Linked DNA regions of Bombyx mori. Each later gene encodes a partner of the first gene's protein in a complex. Links are inferred from orthologs where the notes say so. Each region holds a gene or a part of one and is shown in the gene's direction. Other genes may lie near its edges.

Region 1 (3,666 bases):
GAAAGTTGTGAACTCTTTTGTCGATATAAAGTGTGATTAAATTTTATAACCTCTACTCACTTGGCATGAGGATTTACATTTGTATGCTGTTAATTCTACTTGTAATAACATATGGCCAGAATTAGAAGAATGATGAAAGTAAAAACTTCAATTACCTTAATATTTTAACATTATGCCATGGGTACTCTCCTATGACATCATAACATGGTTCACCTAGGATCTAAAGCATTTGTGTACCGCATTGACCACCGTCATTTGCATTAGTGTAACTTGTATTTAAGTTTAGGCTTTAGTCTTCTGTCTAAAGGTGGTGGCATTTTTGTACAAATGTCAAGACGTGACTCCGTTATACCCTGGAGAGTTCGTGTGTTTGTCATACTGTCATAATAATCGTTCTCAAATCTCCTCAGAGGAGACGCCCGAGCAATGTTTTACCAAGGGAATGTGAAACAACCAAAAGAATAATTTTCATTTTATTGAAACTTCTGATAGCTATCAAATGTGCTATGTCCAGCAGTGAATGTCTGTAGGCTGATAGAATAGAATGCAAAAAAGATGTCTTCGTGCAGTTAATAGGTTTTTTGAAGCAATGATTTTCAGTACGTAAAGTATTATTAACATAATTATTACAGCATACAATTGTTACCCTGTCTGTGTGATAAGGATAATCAATAATTGAAAAAACAAAGAAAAACTAAGATTTTATCAGAATATGAAGCTACCCTTTGCGATAGATGCAAAGTTAGCTTCAGCAGATTTTTCACATAAGAAGAGCAAAACCTGCAGAAAATATCCAAGACAAAAAGACTATCCAAGACTAAAAGATTGAACGTAATCCCACACAGTAATTGACGCTGAACTTCAGTGGCCCTCATAATAATATCTGTATTGGATAGCCAAACACTACTTTATACAATGAAGCTGTGGTTGGACGTATTACTATGAAGGCTCATGAAAATAATACCTGATAAACAAATTACTGTGTATGTATGTAGTACATAAATTTAGATTGTTTTGTTTCCTTAACACCTGTCAATTAAATTGATAGTAGGGGCAAGCTGAGCTCGGAACCATTAATTATAATTTAGAGCACTTTTATCAGCTATCTACACTGCGTCATTTTTTGTGCCTCTTTCTCAACCATCCGTGTGTATAAATTCCCAGATATTTGTTTATTATGTAACTAAGTCCCATACTCATCCAATTGTTTTCTCTCAAAAATCCAATTATTTTGAAACAAAAACAAAAAAAAAGTGGCATTACACAACGTTAACGAACAATATTGAGTCTTGGATATTTTCTGAATTCAGGTGTGCTCATTGAGAAAGTCACAATGATTGGCCACGGTTCTGGAATGTATGGGTCATTACATCTAAACAAAGGTAAGTTGTGATATGTTTTAGAGCATGCAACATAGTATTTCCTTAATACATCTTGTTTGGACTTTAGGTACTTTGTTTACATGAGATTAAATTATAATTAGTAACATTTTCTATTTAATGAAGATCGTAAAATTCTAATTGGCTACATAATAAATAGGTAAGAAATTTTTGTAAATAACAAAAACACTGTCTGATCCATGAGTGTTTTTGTTTGGTGGCTACATAAATCTGCTTTTTTAACATGCTATAATTTTATAAAACTAAGGTCAAATATAAACTAAGAAAAGTCAAAACAGCTACTGCAAACAGCTGAATATCAGGTCAATAAACTGAGATCGCGGTCATTGACATACAAGTTGCGAACCCGTGCGGATGGGTCCGTCGATGCGTATTTCTGCTATAGAAGATAGGCATATTCATCATAATCGGACATAACTTTGGGTTATGATATTCGATAAGCACCATCGTGAACTTCTTGGGTTGACGTTGGTAAAAATGTGGCCGCCGGCATATAGATACGTGTAGGTACTAGGTAGTCCAATATAGAATAGGCAGGCGGGCCGTGGGTAGTACACTAGCCAGATGGTGAGATCTGTTTAAGAAAGCGGTTGGTAGCCTATACAATGCGGTCTATGCCACCCATGACCGAACACTATGGAGGAAAGTTACATGTGGTCGCGATCGTCAGCAGTGAGAGAAAGACGAAGAAGAGGTAGTACATTTGAGCACGTACTGGCTTCGACTGGGTACTCTTTGTGTGTAACCTTAAACTTTGTCGATTTTCATATTTTAAGAGCAATGATGCAGGTTTCATAATTATTATTTTTATTAACCTAGCGTAGTGTTCATATATGTATATATTTTTTATCAAGTTTTATGCCTACTCATTGATAAATATGGCTCATTAGGATCGGATAGAGTTTTTGCTATCTATAACTATTCTGTCCTTTTTTTTTTTCATTATATACGTAGGTATTTAAAAGAAATTTCATGTATGTAGTTTAAAACTATTTCTTACTCGAAATTATAATAGTAATCACAGCATGCCTCGCTTCTAACTATGTAGGCTGCTTTTGAACTGAGAGTGCCATGACGATACTACTAAGGATTCTTAAAATATTAAAATAATACGAATATTTTTGTAGGAGTTTCGCTTGTGAGCTAACAATATATGTGAGTCAATTGGGACGCAATGTCACCGGTCGGGAGACCGCCTCAAACAAGCAAACCGCCAGCAAGTCATGTGCACTGTCGATCGTGAGACAGCTATACCATCTTGGAGTCATTGAGGCATACAGCGGTACGCTAAAAAGGGACAGGTAATAAAAAAAAAAGTTGGAAGATCATGAGTGGTCCCGGATTGTTAATTGTCTTTCGTTAGACGTTCTTAAATCATAACATAACAAACTACGGTAATTGTAATTGTTTTTAACAATTTCAGATCCTCAGAGGGTATTATGAAACCATATCCAGTTGCTATATGCCCGGAACTTGAACAACAATTAGAAGATACCTTACAAGGTTCGTTGTTAAACTTGAAATATTTCAACTGTTTTGGTATTATTTTTTTTGAAACTTAAATGTTTCTTCTATTTCATATTTTAGAATTAGAAATCGAGCCAGTTAATGTCGACGCACCAAGCCAAGATAACCAAGAGGGGAGTGCTGTGACTCTGTTGCAAAAAGATCGCGCGAAGGCTATGAGAGAAGCGAAGCCTATGCCGGCTGGTGTTGTGACGTGGTCTCCTCCGCAGCCGAATTGGAACGCTTGGACAGGGTGTAACATCGGTGAGAAAAACAAAAAAAAGGATTGTGTGGTTTTATGAAACCACGGTAAAAGTGAAACTTTGTTTCACGTTATAGACATTTAACTCTGACAAACAACATTCACATTAAACACTGACAAAAACAAACAAAATAGCGTAGAGCACTGGCACAAATGAGTAATAACTTATACACTACACGGTCAGCTGCTGCGAACTACAGGCGCCGCTATATTGGCCTTGGCTGCTCTGGCTACTCCGCGGCCGACCGCCACGCGACATGCAACACACAGACGAAAAAGTTTGAGACGATGTAATACATTCACATGAAAACCGATTAATACCATACATAGAGAGCAAAGTAAAAATTCTGACCCATACAAACAAACATGTTGACTCACACAATTTTTTGTAGACGAGGGCGCTTTAGCAACTGCCTCCATGGACGAGATTAGCGCTGACCTGGAGAAATGTCACAGGAATATTTGTCAGAATAGCAAATTGTACCAGGTAATATATAG
Region 2 (3,666 bases), on another chromosome or scaffold:
CGTTGTAACTATATTTGAGACCTTAGAACTTATATCTCAAGGTGGGTGGCGCATTTACGTTGTAGATGTCAATGGGCTCCAGTAACCACTTATAAAAAATATATAAAAAAAAAGTTTCGCGGCTGTCTGCTTTATAAACACTATTTCTAATTGAATTAATTCTCATCATGATCATTGCATTTAATGAGTTCCCGTTATTACAACGCTGTTCCGAGCGTGATCACGGGCAGTCTGCTTATGACGACAAGAACTCATACAATAACAAGTGTTTATAAATTAACGTATTGTTCTGTGCTGAAGTTTGTGGTGAATTATACAGGCTTCGTTCTCACAAGTCCGTTGTTTCGCAATCTGAAAACGAGGAGCCGGCACCTTCGACCTCGACTGGCGAACCGAGGACATTCGAAACACTTTCCTCCAGGTAAATATATATAGCCTTTTTTTACACTAATGTTTTTTTTCTACCTACCGCCAGTAACTTCAAGGGGTTATATTAGCTAGCTTCACTGAACGTCTAGACGAACTCACAGGGGTTTCAACCTCGAAGACTTTGCCGAATCTACTAGCGGATCGGAAACGCGACCCACTGTGACGATCCGACGAGAAACTCAGTGGGCTATATATTCGTGTATAAGTTTTGTTTAGATCGAATTTCGTGTAGCAGTTTCGAACCGCTCGCTCCTACCGCTCGCTAACGGAGGAGTTGGTTTTTTACGTGCCGGTTCAATTTGACACTATTTTTAAGGAATTTTATGACCTGGTAACTAAGACTTTTAGGTCAAGTCTTATTTTAATTTATAATCTTATTTTTATGTAAAATGATAATATGGAGTGAAATGAAATGAAATGAAGATGATTAATTTGAGACATTAATCAACTGAGATGAAATGAGATGAGATGATATGGGATGAAATATAATCTCAGTAAAATGGTGGTTATCTACTAAGACTTTTCCAGTGGGCTTTTTGGAGGATCCCGAGAAGCTACGTCCAGCGGCTTTGTCTCATTTTCCCACATTTGTACACTTTACACACACAGATACTAAACATTTAATAAACTATTAAACATTTAAACCTGAAAAAACACTAAATAGACAAAATAAAACAAATCACATAACTTCACTCCTCGCGTTCCCGCCAAAAAGTCCTATTTTACATTTTTATCGTAATCGTAAACAAATGATAAAAGGTTAATTCAACAAGAAGCATAGACACGAAATTTTCTGTATATTATACATTTTATTTCAGTTCGCGTTTCATTCTAAAACTAATGGTAATTACAATAAAAACGTTATTTCGAAGTCACGTTTCAACTTCGATCTGTGGTCTCCAATAATTAAATGAAGCCAAGTCGGCCGAGTTTTATTCTATACTGTGGTGCAAAAATAAACGCTACGCCCATACGTACACATTACGTAATGTACTGTGAAATGTGATACTCGCTGGCGGTAGGTAGGGTAGGTACACGGAAATACAATTCCAAGCAAGATCATTTAACTTAGAATATTGCACGCAATTATACATGCGTCCGTAATTGAAATTCCTGAGATATTGGCGTGGGCGCTTTCCATGAATAAACGCTAAGAAGATTATCTAAAAAAGAACGTAAAATATTTTAAGACAAATAACGAAATGAAATATTTTTTGAATAATACTCGTTTTAAAATATCGTATGTTATTGTGCACAGAAAAAGGGTTTGACAAACTATGGTGTGTAATAAAAATCAAACCCGAAAAATTAGTATTTGCGTAATTCCTGGTGGTAGGCTGCTTTGTATGACACGTGACACGGCAGAATACGGTTTCACAGTTGCGGCAGCCGTTGTACTGTAAAAACTGAGACTTTGAACTCATGTCTCAAAGTGAATGGCGGCATATAAGTTGTTGATGTTCACGGGCTCCGGTAACCACATATCACCAGGTGGGCTGTGAGCTCGTCCACCCATTTACCCAATAAAAAAGTGTAATTTGACAGCCGATTTTAGTAGTGTATAGATTTTAATGGGTTACCGTAAATTACGTCCGCGTTGGTTCATTTTGAAGTGTGTCACTTATGGACAGCAGCAATAAAATAATAAAACTACAATACAAAACACTAACAAAACTGTTTCTCAGAGAGTTAGCAGAGTCATCTAATTGATAATATGTATTTTGTTTATATATGTTTTTATATGTATATATTTATGATATGTATATGTGTATCTATATATTTATGTATATGTATTTATTTAAGTAGGAGTATTTGTATCTATAAATATTATGAATGTTATATATACACATATGTTTAAGTAATATCACCTTCACACTACACCTACCAAGCTTCATCTCTGCACTCCCCTAAGGTAGTCAGTTAGAGAATGCCTATGGCATTAAGTCCGCCTTTATGGTAGTCGCCTTTCTAGTATATGAAGTTATAAAAAATAAAATAAATAAAATAAAACTGTCTCTTCGCTCACATTTTTTTTTTATTTTTATTTTTATTTTTTGCCTTTGTAGGCAGACGAGCGTACGGCCCACCTGATGGTAAGTGGTTACCGTCGCCCATGGACTTCAGCAATGCCAGGAGCAGAGCCAAGCCGCTGCCTACTGCTTAATACTCTCCACAAGCCTCGTTTGAAGAAGGACATGTCATAGCGTTCGGGAAACACCGCGGAGGGGAGCTCATTCCATAGCCGGATGGTACGTGGCAAAAAATACCTCTGGAAACGCACTGTGGATGACCGCAGTGGCTCCAGGTAGTATGGATGAACTCTACTCCGGTGGCGGGCGGTGCGATGGTAAAAACGAGACGTTGGTATCATCTCGAACAATTCCTCAGAGCACTCCCCATGGAACATGCGGTACAAAATACAGAGGGACCCGAAGTCCCTCCGCAGACCCAGAGGTCACATTTCAGTTTTACGTTAAATCGTTTTTATAATAATAATAAAAATGAGATGGAAACACAGAAAATGTATTATTGATGAAAATACAAAAAAAAAGGAAAAAGGCTGTAAAATCTATTAACCTTTTTGTGCTGCGAAATAATCGCTCGTCCCGTTAAGAGTCGCTATCCTATTAAATTACGGTAACCGAGAAATACTTCATGGCTCAAAATAATCAGCGGTATTAATTTTGGGCTATTCTTTATTTATTTCATTTACTTCAGATTTTGCATCCATATAACATTCATTAACAATAACTACAATTTCAGAATAAAATAATAATAATAATAAAACAAAAAATAAAAATTCATTTCAAAACTACCTTAACCTAAAAGCTGGTTTTGGTCTAGAGTGATCATCATTCGTAATATATTAAAGAAATATAATATACAAATAATTATAATATAGAACATCTTACATCAGATGGGCCAATTCCCTAATAGAGCCCTTTATACCACGCACCTATAAGCATAGTAAGCTACACCCGTCCTAACCCTAGTTTTAAAACATTTCATTGTGTACTAACAACTTAGAATATAATAATAATTCACAGGTTAGTTTTACAAAAATTTTTCAGCGTGGGAAGTAGCGGCTCGTCCATGAGCGAAGGTTGGACCCATCCACCGAAAACAGCTCCCGTATCCACCAGCACTCGCACTCCGCTCTCGCTGCTCTTGGAAAAGGTAGCGTATACGTTTTTTGGGTATGACCAAGTGCGAATAAATTTATTTATTTATTACACT

Evidence for each region. The genes of interacting proteins can lie anywhere in the genome.
Region 2: MLE (region 1) and Msl3 share a complex: the UniProt entries of both Drosophila melanogaster proteins name them as parts of the male-specific lethal (MSL) histone acetyltransferase complex. The link is inferred for Bombyx mori from reciprocal best matches to the Drosophila melanogaster genes mle and msl-3.

What each region holds. Positions count from the first base shown.
Region 1 is NC_085132.1:4,383,916-4,387,581, forward strand, and holds part of MLE (MLE protein), read left to right. Parts: intron 1-1,366; exon of another isoform or gene 1,367-1,382; intron 1,383-2,527; coding exon 2,528-2,701; intron 2,702-2,823; coding exon 2,824-2,903; intron 2,904-2,987; coding exon 2,988-3,170; intron 3,171-3,560; coding exon 3,561-3,655; intron 3,656-3,666. UniProt on the Drosophila melanogaster protein: RNA helicase component of the male-specific lethal (MSL) histone acetyltransferase complex, a multiprotein complex essential for elevating transcription of the single X chromosome in the male (X chromosome dosage compensation).
Region 2 is NC_085113.1:6,770,502-6,774,167, reverse strand, and holds part of Msl3 (male-specific lethal 3), read left to right. Parts: intron 1-319; coding exon 320-421; intron 422-3,476; coding exon of another isoform or gene 3,477-3,500; coding exon 3,501-3,606; intron 3,607-3,666. UniProt on the Drosophila melanogaster protein: Component of the male-specific lethal (MSL) histone acetyltransferase complex, a multiprotein complex essential for elevating transcription of the single X chromosome in the male (X chromosome dosage compensation).